Linked DNA regions of Pelodiscus sinensis. The protein of the gene in region 1 interacts with the protein of each later gene in a biochemical or structural test. Links are inferred from orthologs where the notes say so. Each region holds a gene or a part of one and is shown on either strand. Other genes may lie near its edges. The genes, in order: TRIM72 and UBE2H.

The links.
Region 2: the proteins of TRIM72 (region 1) and UBE2H form a complex in vitro, tested with the Homo sapiens proteins (2 studies listed by BioGRID). The link is inferred for Pelodiscus sinensis from reciprocal best matches to the Homo sapiens genes TRIM72 and UBE2H.

The regions. Positions count from the first base shown.
Region 1 is NC_134714.1:131,223,110-131,230,306, reverse strand, and holds the start of TRIM72 (tripartite motif-containing protein 72), read left to right. Parts: upstream 1-3,997; 5' UTR 3,998-4,135; intron 4,136-7,197. Other genes in the region: uncharacterized protein LOC102458195, read right to left, coding at 1,715-1,877. UniProt on the Homo sapiens protein: Muscle-specific E3 ubiquitin-protein ligase that plays a central role in cell membrane repair by nucleating the assembly of the repair machinery at injury sites.
Region 2 is NC_134711.1:4,002,916-4,010,363, forward strand, and holds the start of UBE2H (ubiquitin-conjugating enzyme E2 H), read left to right. Parts: upstream 1-4,261; 5' UTR 4,262-4,499; coding exon 4,500-4,552; intron 4,553-7,448. UniProt on the Homo sapiens protein: Accepts ubiquitin from the E1 complex and catalyzes its covalent attachment to other proteins. E2 ubiquitin conjugating enzyme that transfers ubiquitin to MAEA, a core component of the CTLH E3 ubiquitin-protein ligase complex.

The DNA.
Region 1 (7,197 bases):
CTTGCAGGGGAACATGCCAGCTGCTTGACATACCCACTGTGGTAGCCTAGCTCTTAGTGCTTAAGAGGAGTTAGTTCTTGAACAAATGGACTCACAATGGACGGACAGACAGACACACCTACCTTTTTAAAAACAGAGATATAGATTTTGAGTGTTGCTTGATTTTAGCCAAACTGTGTTAGTTTCTATTATCTGAAAAGTGTGACTCACCAACTTTTTAAAAAAAATATGCCTGCCTGGGGAACGAGTCATGTGTGTTTTGCTATTCTCAGGGCTTGTATTTTTCTGTAACAGGGTTTCATTCACCTGGGCTGGGTCTACACTGGCATGAATTTCTGGAAATGCTTAAAATTGAATACTATTCCGTTTTCAGTTTTTCCGGATAAGGAGCGTCTACATTGGCAGGCTGCTTTTCCGGAAAAGCCCTTTTTCCGGAAAAGCATCTGTGGCCAATGTAGACGCGCTTTTCCAGAAAAGACTACTGGGCTGTCTACACTGGCCCTTTTCCAGAACAGTGTTCCGGAATAAGGACTTATGCCCGAGCGGTAGCAGAATAGTTTTTCTGGAATAGCGGCTGATTTTGTACAGTAGAGCATCGTTGCTTTTCGGGAAATTCAAGGGCCAGTGTAGACAGCTCGCAGCTTATTCCGGAAAAGCGGCTGATTTTCCGGAATAAGTGGCCCAGTGTAGACACAGCCCTGTTGTTTTAAATCTCTAAACTGAGCGCTCAGTTACATCAACTAGCTGACTGGCTGCCAGTGATTTCGTAAGAGGAAGAGCCTGCCTGGATTTCAACGGAAGGCTCTTACAAGCAAGAAGATGTTTGCTTTTAGATGTAACCAAAGACCCCGAAATGCAGGTGAACCCCACCAATGCCTTTGGGAACACTAGAGTTACTTCTCACTGTGTTTCTGCAGGTGCTGGCCTGGTTAGATTGAATTTGTTTTCTTTCTGGGTGTGTAAAACTGGAGATAATGAAAGCAGATTATAAAGCAGCCACCTTGTGCTGCAAAAACAAAGGTAGTCGTTATGTTTCTTTATCAGAAGATTGGACAGAATTGCTTGTGTGTCCTTACAGGCTGGCTTGGTGACAGGTGTCTTGAAAGAAATCAACCAAAATAACCAGAACTGGTGTGATTATGTTGTGTTATTCTGACACATCAAATATGCAGAATTTTGCAACATGTGAAAGTAGTGCGCACAGAATGCTTAACTTCTCCTGGCAGAACTGCCCCAGGAGTATCATCTGCACCAGTCAACACCAGGCACCCTGCGTAACGCAGGCTGCCGGTTTAAGGTCTCTTAGAACCGCTGCATGCGGTGTGGGACAGTTAAATGGTTTAAATACAGCAGGTTAATTAAATTGGTGCAAGTTTGTGTGTAAATAAAGTCTAAGGGAGCCTGCCCAGCAGAGCCCTTCTCCTCTCCCTGGGCTCCACAGCGCCTTCTCTCTCCTCCTCTGCTTTGCACTCTGATTCATCCAGATCGGAGGGAGGCTGGCTTGGTGGCAAGGAAAAAGTCTGACTGAGACCAGAAAGCGGGAGGGAGCGTGTCCAGGGACACTCGGGGGGGGGGGGGAGGGTTGTGGCTGCACCCCCTGACTTGTGGCTTCCGTTGTGTCCAAGGGGTGAAGTTTAGCTCAGGGGCTCTCAACCCCCCCCCGTGCCAGCGCATTGGCCCCCTGCTCCGAGTTCCTCTCTGGATCCCTCCTTACCAGATGCTGAGAAGAGTGTCGGTGACTGGAACTGCGAGAACGGCTTCTCTGCTCCAAAGTCCTTCCCGGGGAGGCCGCCTACGTAAGAGCTCCCCTGCAACTGGAGTTGAGGCTTTTTGGGCTTGCCCTGGGGCAGCCCCGAACCCTGGGGTCTGAGCGCCATGCTGCCGCCCCAGGCAGAGGCCTCAGCGCAGCAGAGACCGAGTCAGACCCTGGCCCGGGAGCAGGAAGTCGCTGCTGTGCCGAGTAGGAGGAGGCAGAGCTCGAACCTCCCTCCCCCCCGGACTCCGAGCCCTTGGTGAGGCAGGCTCAGCCCATGGCTCCCCAGGAGAGTTCGCTCAGCGAGCGTCCCAGGGCCAGGGTTTAAAGCGGCTGTCATGTGGGAACTGCGGTAATCTAGTCACCTTATACACTGGCAGCAGAAGAGAGGGCCTGGGAGGAACCTGAAAAGCCTTCCTTCACAGACAGTCTAGGGCCCAGACCCCAAATCAGTAGGAGCTGGACACTTACATGCCTTTGGTAAACCCTGATTGGGGTGTTAAATCTGCAGGTGTAGGAACTCCTTGCGAGAGGATGTGGTGAAGCCTAGAACTTTAACAGGGTTCAAAAAAAAGCTAGATAGATTCATGGGGGTTAGGTCCGTCAATGGCTATTAGCCAGGATGGGTAGGAATGGTGTCCCCAGCCCCTGTTTCTCTGGAGGTGGGAGACAGGGCAGGGATTCCCTGTTGTGTTCTCTCCCTCTGGGGCATCTGGTATTGGCCACTGTCCCCAAACAGGACACTGGACTGGATGGACCTTTGGTCTGACCCAGTGTGGCCATTCTTAATGCTGTACAATGTTGCAGCCAGGCCTCACCCTAGAGGTGGCTGCATTTTGAGACTGGGTGAGCAATCTCTCACTATCCAGACTGGAAAGCACGGTGGTGACATTTATTAGGAGAATATTTATATTAGCAAACAGATTAACAAACCCTGGTTCGTGCTGTTGGAGGATCAGATTGTCAGCCACTCCCGATGGGGAGTGATGGTCCGATGTGGAATCTGGGAGGAGAATCCAGAGACGATGCGGAAGGTGTATGAACTGGTCCTGAGCGGGACCAGGGCCGGCCGGCTGCAAGACAGTCACCAACACCAGGTGGAAGAGTTTTAGAGGAGCCTCTTAGAACGGCTGCACCCAGGGAGCTCCGGACTCCAGTCCTGGTCCTTCACCCCTCAGCAGGCTGTGCTAGGGCTCACACAGCCCCACCAGTCCCTCACCAAGGCCCCGCCCCAAGGCCTCACTTAGTCACGGAGACCCCTCCAAAGCTCCTGCTTCCATTAGCACTGACCTCTGGGGAAAGAGGCGCAGCAGGGGGTGGGGCCCGAAAAGCGAGGAGGAGCAGGGGGTGGGGTCTGGGGGAAGAGGCGGAGCAGGAGGTGGGGCCTGGGAGGAGAGGCGGAGCAGGAGGTGGGGCCTGGGGGAAGAGGCGGAGCAGGAGGTGGGGCCTGGGAGGAGAGGCGGAGCAGGGGGTGGGGCCTGGGGGAAGAGGCGGAGCAGGATGTGGGGCCTGGGAGGAGAGGCGGAGCAGGAGGTGGGGCCTGGGGGAAGAGGCGGAGCAGGGGGTGGGGCCTGGGAGGAGAGGCGGAGCAGGGGGTGGGGCCTGGGGGAAGAGGCGGAGCAGGAGGTGGGGCCTGGGGGAAGAGGCGGAGCAGGAGGTGGGGCCTGGGGGAAGAGGTGGAGCAAGGGGTGAAAGCCTGGGGAAGAGGCAGGGCCCATGGGAAGAGGTGGGACGGGGGTGGTTCTAGAAGTTCGGAAGTGTCCAGATTTCTGAAGTTTGAAAGTTGAGCAACCCTGCAGCCAAAGATGGACGAGTCCAGGTGCCCCCAGCGCTCCACTGAAGTGCACCAAAGCAGCTGCCCCGACTCACCCTGGCTGCGAAATCCAGCTTGACCCTCCTCCCCCAATCACTCCAGGCTGCCAGAGCCGGAGGCAGGAGAGCCCCCGGCGTGCGGAACAGCAGGGCGGGTGCTCTGCGGTAGGGGGCTCCCGCAGCCCCTGGTTCCCAGGAGGAAGGGTGGCACTCCCAGACCCCGGTGTGCAGGGGAGAGAGTGGGACCCCGGGCTCCTGGAGGGGAATGCAGGGTGCTCCCCAAGCAGAGTGCGAGCCCCCTCTCTCTACGCCAACAGCTGCCTGAGCCATTTGCTGTCACCCTGCCCTCCCCCTCCTGCTCTGCAGACAAAAAATTGGCCGGTGTCCTGTCCTTCCCAGAACAGCCGCGCATTATTGATCTATATATAGAGGCGGGGAGGGGCTGTGGGGCAGTCGCGCTGCGGCTGAGCCCATCCTAGCACAGTCAGCTGCTCCCTGGTGCCCGTCCGATCGCTGCGCCTCCTCGCCCTCCAGCCGGACACCGCTCCCCCGCCGTCTCCTCTGAGCTCAGTAAGACGCTGCTTGCTTTCTCTCCCCCGGAGCTATGGGGGTCTCACTTTGCTCCCAGGGCTCTATGCAGCCTGTAGTGACCGGGGTGCCAGGCTTAGAGGGCAGGGGGGAAACTCAAAGGGAGGCGTCATCTTTCTAACGAGTGCAGGACCGGGAAAGGTCAGAGGGCCTGGCGGGGAGACGGGCTCGGATGCTTCCCTTTGGGGTAACCGGGAGCGAGCTGGACTGAATTCGCTCTCTCTGGGCAGGGACCAGAAACGCTCCGCAAGCCTCCTTCTGTGTCTGCCTGGCTGCGTCTCTGTGGCCGGCCCCTGCGCTATCCCACGCCTGCCCCCAGAGCTCCTGCCTCTCTTCTCCTCTCGTGCCTGTTGTTTTAACCCCTGGGCCCGGAGCTGGAGCTGAGGGACAGCTTGTCTGCGGGGAGAGCCTGTGGCAGGGAAAGCGGGGGTGGGCTGGAGAAGGGGGTGAGCTGGGGGGGCTGGTTTGGGTTAAAAAGTCGCTCTGGGCAGGGGCTAAAATGGTTCTTTGGCGTCTCTCTCTGTTTGTGGCTCTTCTGCCTCCCAGTCCACTCCCTTCCCCCTCCCAACCTTCAGCCGACATTCCCGCCCCATGGAGAAGCTGTCCCTGCCCCCTTTGGTGTCGGGGGGGGGGATGGCCTCGCCCATCGCTACCCATTAGGGATCCCTCCCTCCTGCTTCCGCCTCCTCCCAGCCCCCCTCTACCCCTTATTCCCAACAGCGCTGTGGACAGGTGGGGGAGGCCACGGTGAGACCCAGCTGCTCACGCCCCTCGGGAAGCGGCTTTTCCTGATTCTCAGATGTGGCCTGGCACTGGCATTCAGCCCCGTCGGGAGGGGGGGGGGGGGGCTCCGTCTTGCAGGCCGCTCCCCTCCGGAGCAACGGCACAAGCTCCACAGAGCCCCCTGGCCAGAAGGGCCCTTAGCCCGACCCCCTGGATAGCACAGGCTGGAGATGCCCCAAATATAACCCCCCCACACACACCCACCCCGTGCCTCATCCTGAGCCTCTGCTAATGCCCCCCCCCAGCTCCCTACGCAGTGCACCACAAGGCAGAGGGACCCCTGCCAGGCCACCTTGGCAGCTCCAATGCAGCGCAGTGCGGCCGCACACGCAGCAGGGCACGGGGCCCCGTGCGACGCAGCTCGGCACGCCCCGAATTCACCACACGTGCAAGGCGAGGCAGCTGAGACAGTGGCCGGGAATCAAGTCCACGCTGCATGTCTGGCAGGCAACATAATTCCCTGCGACATCTCAGACACCGAGGGCACCCCCAGGTCCCAGGCAACGCAGCCCCACAGAACCTACCGGGTCAGCAAAGGCCCATGGAGCTTAGTGTCCTGTCTGCCGACAGCAGCCAATGCCTGGTGCCCCAGAGGGAGGGAACAGAACCGGGAATCCTCGTGTATCCCCTCCCCTGTCGGCCATTCCCAAATTAATATAGTAAAATATATAAAAAATAAAACACATACAAATGTGAATCCCCAGCTCTCTCCTTCATTCGATCTCAGGGCACTCGACTAAGGGCGATTAGGATAATTTTATGGCTAGGGAAACTGAGGCACAGGGAAGTGACTTGCCGAGCGTCTTCACGCAGCACCGCTGGAAATAGCAGCGGGTCTCCTGCCTCCCAGTCCAGCCCTTTCGCCCCAGGCAGTACGCAGCCCCCACAGCAAAAGTGCCCTGCAGCAAAATGGCAGGGTAGCACCACAACTATAACACTGCCAAGCATTGTGCAGTGTGGCCTAGTGGCTAGCATGCTGGCCTGGGACACAGCCAGGCCCAGGGCACAGGTGGACAATTTCGGTCCCAGGCCTGCGGGAGGATGGGGACAAATGACGTCCCTTGCCTCACTTTTCCCACCTGTAAAATGGGTCTAAGGCTGCCATTCTCTTTGATAAAGCTCACTGAGCTAGACTGTCAAAAAGTGCTCGATAAGAGTTGGGGGATTACGACTGTGGTGACCAACACAGAACCCTGGTTCTCAAATATTAGCAACCGGGGCACCTCCAATTGGATTTAAATTCTTTGAGGACCCCCAAAATGGCTTCTCATTTTAAGCCCCACTCAGCCCCCACCTTCCCCCAATTGTCCACTCCTTCCATGTCCCTGCCCTGCCTCTTCCCCACCTCCTGCTGCCCACTCCCCCGAGCACCCCCATCCCCTCTCCCCTGCACACCGCAGAGGCAGGGGCGGGATTGAGCAGCAGGGCCGGCAGCCCCAGACAGACTGGCAGGCCCCACGCTGAGGACCAGGGCTCTGGCACCCAAGATGCAGCTAAAGGCTCCGTGATGTTGCTGGGCTGATCCTTTCCAGCCCCTGTTCTGAGGCAGGAGCATGTAAAACGTCAACACCCCCTCCACCCCGGCAGCCGTTCGTCTAACCTGTGCTTACAAGCAAGGGTGGGAACAGCCAGTGTCTCCCTGCGGAGTCAGAGCCTTTAGCTTCCCACTGCGCCACTGGAGCTACCGGCGGCCAGCAGTGACAGTAAGTTCACATTTCATACAGGCGCTGTCCTATTGCAACCCGGGTCCCCGCCCGCCCTTTCAACAGCGCCTTGCTTTTACCCCAGCTCAGCCAGCCCGTGCCGGAGCTGCGTGCCATGGCGCCCCCACTTTCACCTCCACCGACGGCAGAATCAGACCTGCCCCCCCCTAGCGCTGCCACAAGGGGGCTAAGCCCCACCTGGCCATTGCAGCTGGAGCGTTCCCTGCAGGAGCGGCAGGGCGGGGCGGGCTGAGCCCAAAATAATCCCTTAACCCCTCCTTGCCCGGGGTGGGGTTTGGACACCCCGTCCCACTCCCAGGGCAGCATGTGGGGGGAGCACGAAGGGTCAGGGTTGCCGGGGGTCTGGTGTTGAACCGGACAGTCCCGTAGCTGAGCTTCTGTTCGGGAAACACACTGAGAAACTAGAAATGAGGCAACAGAAAGGCCCAGGATTTCCTAACTCAGATGGGCTGTAGACTGGGATGGAATGTCAAGTGTGTCTGGTATTTTTGTTGAAACCATCTGGGAACCCTGCGAAGGGCCGTGTGCCCTCTGAAT
Region 2 (7,448 bases), on another chromosome or scaffold:
TATTTCAAAATCAATTTTGAAATAACGGGCTGGTTCAAAAGATGTGGAACAGCTATTTCGGGATCCCTCTGGCATCCCAAAGTAGCACCGTAGTCTAGACGTGTCCTAAGTGTTTCGTGGGGACCACTTTACAGCCGCAACATCGCAAGATATTTTAACAAATCTGTGGTCACGGTGTGCACCTTCACACTTGTCACCTAGCTGCACACCAGACCTTCCGTCCGTGTCCACACTTAAAAAGCGACAGCTGCTCTCCTGTAGCACTTCAGTGTAATCACTTACAACAGCAATGGAGGGGTCACCCGTCACTATAGTTAATCCAAGTTTAATGGAAAGTTTGATCAGAGGTTAGGTCCTTTTAACTATGTCCTTTCAGGTGTGGATTTTTCACCTCTCCGAGAGAGGCGGTTCTGTACATGTAAGTTCAGTGTAGACCAGCCCTCAAAGCTCACAGGGACGGCTGGAACAAGAGCTCAGACCCACTTGCTTTAAGCGCACCAACCCCCACAACCTGAGCTAAGGAGAGTCTCAATTAGCGATCTAGTGCCACCGAATGCGCAGTACTGACTCCATCCGAACTTGGAGGTGTGCTCATGAACTTGGCAGCGTAATTTGATTGTCTTCACACAATATTTTACGTTTCCATAGGAACTTTTTCCCCAGCAGTCTCAACATACTTTACAAACATTCATTAACTTCAGCGCACAGTTCCCGGCTCCAGAAGGCAGGTAAGTATTAGTTACTATATTTTCCAGGTGAGTAAACTGAGGCACGGGTAAACAATCAGACCAAAGTCCATTACCGAGGTAAGGGTAGAAACTCAGAGTTCCAACGCTCATACCTTAAACTACACAGCTTTCTTTCCAGTTTGGGATATTAGCTAGAATGTGATTAATTTTGCAGTAGGGTCAATTGGCAAAGTTCATTTATCGGTAACATGTGACTCCCCTCTGTGTCCTTGATCCTTTTCTGCTAACAGCCTGTATATAAAGGGTTGGACAGGCCCAAGAATACATTTCCCAGATCGCAACACTCTAAGGTCATACAAGGTCGAACAGCTGTTTGCTCCCATACACTGCTCAGTTGTACCTGATTCTGAGAGATATCGCTCATTCCAGCCTCCCGCTCGATCGGCGTCTCTAGCCTGGGGACCCTGCATTACTCCTCTGTAAATTATTGACAGCTGGAAAAGCAGAAACCAGAAACTGAGCTGGTGGAAAATGTGATAAACCTCCATTTGTTGCACGTTAACAAATGCTGAAAGCCAGCTATTGGAGCTGCTTGGCTCCCGGTGCCCTGTGCTGAGCCTCTGATATTCACAGGCCAACTCCTGGCTTTGCTCCACTTGGCAGGAAGGGACATGTTAACCCTATGTGGCCAGGGGACACTGCCACGAGACACTGCACCTTATTTATACTGGAAATTGCCTAGCTGCTAAGAGGGCTGGGTCCTCCTGAAGGAGCTCCTATTCCCAAACAGCCTTGGGGGTCACCCGTCTGCCCATGCTGAATCCATCCTCCCTCTCTGTGCAGGTGTAACCCGCACACATTGGCTGTGTCTAGACTGGCAAGTTTTTCCGCAAAATCAGATGATTTTGCGGAAAAACTTGCCAGCTGTCTACTATTCGGGCAAAAGTCTTTTTCCAAAAGACTTTTGCGCAAAAGGGCCTGTGTAGACAGCATAGTACTGTTTTCCGCAAAAAAGCCCCAATGGCGAAAATGGCGATCGGGGCTTTTTTGCGGAAAACCGCGTCTAGATTGGCCACCGACGCTTTTCTGCAAAAAGTGCTTTTGCGGAAAAGCATCCTGCCAATCTAGACGCGATTTTTCCAAAAATGCTTTTAACGGAAAACTTTTCCGTTAAAAGCATTTCCGGAAAATCATGCCAGTGTAGACGTAGCCCTAGTGTGGTTCACGCAGGTTCAACCAGATACAAGGCTGACCAGGTTGACCACCCTGCCCTGTCTTCAAGTCCCTCCAGTGGCTCAGCCTTGCCTTCATTTCTGTTTCCCCAGTCATAGCTTTGCAGAGCCCAGCTGCCACTTAAATCTCATCTTGCCCCTTTGCTTTGCCAGGGATGCTCCCTTCCTTTTCTTCTCCCCTTCTGCTTTCTCCTGTGCCTACGGTTGCCAGGTGTCTGGTTTTAGCCTGGACTGTCCGTTATTCGGATCCAGCGTCTGGTACAAAAACAGAAAATACTGGACATGTGAAATGCCCAGCATTTCCTCCTGTTTCCCTCAGACGGACAATTTTCCCCTGCCGCATCTGGTGGGGATGGTGGGGAGTGAGGAACTGAGAGAACAGCAGGGCCATTTAAAGGTACAGCTGTGGGTTTTTTTTTTTTTTTTTTTTTTTTTGCTCAACAACGTTGGTTTCGCCCTTTTTCTTTTCTCAACAGGATTTTTCCCCGGTGTTTTTTTGTTTTTGTTTTTTTGGGGGGAGGGTGTTCGGTATTTTTTTGTTAAACCATCTGGCAACCCTACCTGTGTCAGCTCCTGTCTATGAAGTGATCTTGCTTTGGTCAGTGCCTAGGTTCCCAGCTGCCTCCACTAAATCCATATCTTCCATAAGGCCCAGCAGCACTGACCAAAATCAGCATAACGCCAGCACCACAAATATCCGTGCACAAAAATAGCAAGCCAAGTCATCCCTTCACTCAAAGCATCTGTCTTTTGGTTGTTTTTCTGATTGTAAACTCCGCTTGGGCAGGGACTCTGTCTTTGACTCAGACATACAGTTGTTTCATTATGATGATGTGGCACTGAAAAAAAAATCATGTCAGGACCCTCACAAAACACCACAATCCACACTGCAAATGTAAATGATAAAGATCCACAGCAAATCATTGCCTGCAGGGCAGAAATGAATTTGAAACATGAGAATATCAATTAAAGGTCTAGAGAAGTTTTCTCTAACCCATCTTTTTCATAATATGGCTAGTATAAGGATACATTGCAAAGAACTCAGAAAACATTTTTGTAAGGTCCTGAAACAAATTAAACTGAAAACCAAGTGACGAGACTCTCCCCCATGTCAAGATGTGCACAGACGCATTCCTGAATTTCTTGTGAGGTGTGAATACAATGAGTATTGACTTCCCAGTAATACCCAGCTTGCAACAAGATGTTGCTGTATTTATTATGCCTCACAAAAACTGTGTGAAGAAGGTGTGTGTAAAAACTGATTTTTACAGAAAACTTAAGATGCATTAAACGTTTACAAAAGTAGAGAGAGGGTTTTAACAAAAAACCCCAAACTGTGCAGCATCCTGTTGAGAGACAAAACAAATATGGGAGTAAAGAGAGTTTGGCAGAAGTGAAGTTTACAAACATGGGAATGTCTCTGCTGTAGCCTCGTTTTACAGATGGGGCACAAAGTGGCTAAGTGACTTGCCAAAGGGCAGAGTGGGTATAGATGTTGGGAATCTTAACCCCACCCTTCGAATGGATTCAGGGGCCCTAGCTCCTTCTCTAATCAACCCACACCACTATCAGCTAAGCAGAACATAGGCATGGGTGAAAGCCGTAAGTGCATTTAGATGAAGTCTGGGCCAGCAGACCATCCTTGTGCAGACAGAAGGTGGATGAGGTAACGTCTTTTAGGGGCTCAGCTTGTCAGCTGGTGTAAGAGACAAATGTCTGAGCTGCTCCTCTTTAGGTGTCAAATTTACATACAGCTGGCAACATGCCAGGGGAAACCAGCTCTCTCCCTACATTTTTAGGTCAAGGGGCGTTGGCATCCACAAATGCAGAAGATCCCTTGGCCCTATTAAGGAGACCATGAGGGGCGAGGCCTCCACCCGGCAGCCTGCCTCCACCAGCTAGACCCAGGGTGTGCGCCCAGTTCTGAAGCAGTAGCCACTGCTATAGCGAACTAGCCCCGTGATTCCGAAAAAACCGGTCGGACTCATGGAACGTGGCTTCGGAAAGAGGAAAGACCTTCGGAACTTTGTGATTATTCGTATTATTATAATTATTCTATGAAAAAAAATTGGGTTTTTTATTTAAAAAATGTTTTTTGTTTTTTTTTGAGTTTTCATTGTTCAAGCCAACTAGCCAGTTAGCCACGTGGGGCGAGTGGCCAGCGCGTGGGGCACTCGACCCTACTCCAGGGCTTGCTGGGAAGGAGCGGCGGCGGCCTACAACTCCCGTCAGCCAGCGCGGGGCGGGGCGGGGCGGCGTGAGCGACGCGCCGGCGTCACGCGCCGCGGCGCCAATCGGGGCGGGCCCGGGCAGTGAGGTCACTGTGGGTGACGTCAGGGGCCCAGAGAGAGGCTCTCCGGCAGCGGCGACGGGAGCGGGGCGCGGGGCTGAGGGGAGCGCGAGCCGGAGCGGGGGGAGGCAGGAGCGGCCAGGCCCCGCAGGGCGCAGCGGCGGCAGCAGGAGGGGGCTCGCCCGCGGCTCGGCGCCCGGCGCCCCCCCCCCCGGGGAGTCCCCCCCCAGCCCGGAGCAGCCCGGGCTCTGACAGCCCGAGAGGAGGAGCCGGGCAGCCGGGGGCACCATGTCCTCCCCCAGCCCGGGCAAGAGGCGGATGGACACCGACGTGGTCAAGCTGTATCCTTCCTGCGCGGGGAGACCCGCCCCCCCGTGTAGGGGGCGAGGGGAGACCCCCCCACACCTTCTGTGGGGGGAGACCCCCCCTCCTGCCCTGTGTGTGTCTGAGACCCTTCCCCCCTCCTTCCAGTGGGGGGGGGGGGAGAGACCCCTCCCCCCTCCTTCCAGTGGGGGGGGGGGGAGAGACCCCTCCCCCCTCCTTCCAGTGGGGGGGGGGGGAGAGACCCCTCCCCCCTCCTTCCAGTGGGGGGGGGGGAGAGACCCCTCCCCCCTCCTTCCAGTGGGGGGGGGGAGAGACCCTTCCCCCCTCCTTCCAGTGGGGGGGGGGTGGGAGAGACCCTTCCCCCCTCCTTCCAGTGGGGGGGGGGTGGGAGAGACCCTTCCCCCCTCCTTCCAGTGGGGGGGGGGTGGGAGAAGAGAGACCCTCCCCTGTCCTCCTGTGTGAAGTATGGGGTGAGAGGGAGACAAGAGAGAGACCCTCTATCCTCCCGTGTGGGGTGGGAAGGAGGAGAGAGAGAGGACCCCCCCCATCCTGGGGCGGGAAGAAGAGAGAGGTTCTCCATCCTCTTGTGTGTGGGGGAGGGGGAGAGGGAGACCTTCTAATGGGGGGGGGGGAGAAAAGCTTTCCCCATTTGACAGTGTGGGGAGGGGAGAGATCCCTCATCCCCTGGGTGGGGGAGAGAAGCCCCTGTGAGGAAAATATCCTGGGGAAAAGGCCCTCAGCCCAGAGGAGAGTGACATCCCTAATCCTCCAGTGATGTACAGCTGTCAGGGCCTGTCCTGCTGATATCTTGTGGAGAAGGAGAGCGTGAACCCCCATGAAACCAGCTACCAGGAGGAAGAGGGTGAGCCTCCCCTAGATCAGCCCCTCTGGGGGAGCCCCCTGCAGCCACCTACTCAACATCAACTCTTCCCAGTCTGCTGAATAGAGGCCTCCTGAAAAAGCAGACTGTCTTCCCTCCCTACCCCCAGTCCTGGGGATTTCAGTGCTCTCAAATACCGAATCTATCTCCCAGCCTCAGCTTACACCCCAGACTAAGGACTGGTGCCCCTTTAAACTATAGAGAGCCTGGGGTATAAGAGGCTACCCCACCCACCGCCTATCCTGGTGGGAGATTAGTACCTTTAAAGTGGGAGCATGGGGCAGAATCCTTTGGTTCAACCTAAGGCAACTCCTTTTCCTTCCCCTGCTATTGTGACTCTTCCTCCTCCTCCCCCCCACCCCTATCGCAGGTTAAGGGAAAGAAACCCCCTCCTCCCATAGATATGACAGCTGGTAGTCAGTCTTCGAAGGGAATTTTTAAGGAATATTCTCCCCCCCTTCCAGATGGCACCCCCACTCCTGACTCCCCTCTTTCCCCCAGCCCTCTTCCCTGGAATGTAGTTCAGCAGCTTGGAGTGGTTAGAAGGGGGTCTCAGAGAATGGAGAGGTCTTGTCTAATAGCCACAGCCCAGAGAAAGCCTTTTGTGATGTTTATTATTATTTACTCCATGGTTTCAGCCTGCCATTCCCAAAGCTTCTGGTGCCAGCTTAGGGACTTGTGTTTTCTTTTCTTTTTTTGGGGGGGGTGGGGGGGAGTCTGGTTTGCAACAAACCAAAAATAAGGTGCTATGGAGTGGGGGAAAAAGGGGTTCCAGAGCAATTGAAAAGTCTCTCTCTCCCTTCCCTTCCCGCTAGAGGTTTTGTTTATGTAACACTCCTGTTTAGGGTAGGCTTTTTTCTTTCCTAATGGATCTATTTTTATTTTTCTCAGTATTTTTATTCTCACCCCTCATAGGATGGTGTAGCCCTCACTTTCGCTGTCTGGAGTGTGGGTGGCTATTGAAAAAACATTGGGAATTCGATTATAGAATTGTTTTATTAATAGTTTTGTTTACGTGGTGGTGGTGGTGGGGAGAATTGACTTAACTGACTACAATGCTTTCAGATATATTTACTCCCCCAGGAGAATTTGGGGGTGAAAGATCTGGTTTTTTTGGTTGTGGTAGGAAGGTTGGGGGTTATAAACAGATCTGATTTAGTTTCTAGAGGCAGAGATAAACAAACTTATTTGGATTTTGTGTCTTAAAAGAAGGGGTGAAATCAACAGTGCTAATGTCTGCGGTATGAGAACAGTTTACCCTAGGAAACTGTGTTAATGTTTTTGTATGTTTTTATACAAAGTTGCTCTTTATTTTTAAGGTTGTTTATAGCAAATAGGAAATGACTGCCGATCATGGTACTATCTGAGCTATTTTTATTCCGGAGTTTAGAATTACAACATGTCATACCCTCCCAAATGCAAATTTCAGTTGATGGTTAATTTCACCAGGAGGAGGTTTGAAAACTCCAGCTGTTTAGTGGAAATAATCTTCATTGTGTGTAATTTTTTAAAGAGGACTGTGCTGGAGTGGAGATGAGGCCCATTATGACCTGATGCATTTTCTACCCCACTTCTCTTTTCCTGCTTGGTAGCTGACATCTAGACTGACTACAGCATTTTAGGAGACAAAGAGCAGGTTTTTTGGTATATTTATTGCTTGGTGGTACACGAAAAGAAGCAAATAGGTTGATATTCCTTCCAATCCCAGTTAATTTCTCATCTCCTGGTCTATTTTCCCTGACAAAAGAATCTAGAGGTGCTTTAAAACTGTAGCTCTTATTATTGTTACCCCAGTGCTCTTGGTATTTGACACAGAGGGATAGGTCAGTTTGTGTCTTGTGGACCGTAAAGTTAGGAAGTTGTGTCGAATGGCTATTTCTACCTTCCTCCGGCTTTTTGTTTGTCTGGCCTTCCTTCATATCTCTAGGATGAATTCAGAGTGTAGGCCCAAACTGCTGAGCCACTTCATTTGTCTGTGCTGTCCTATTTGTAAACCAGCCTGCACGTTTTCTGAAATAAGTGGGGGGGGGGGG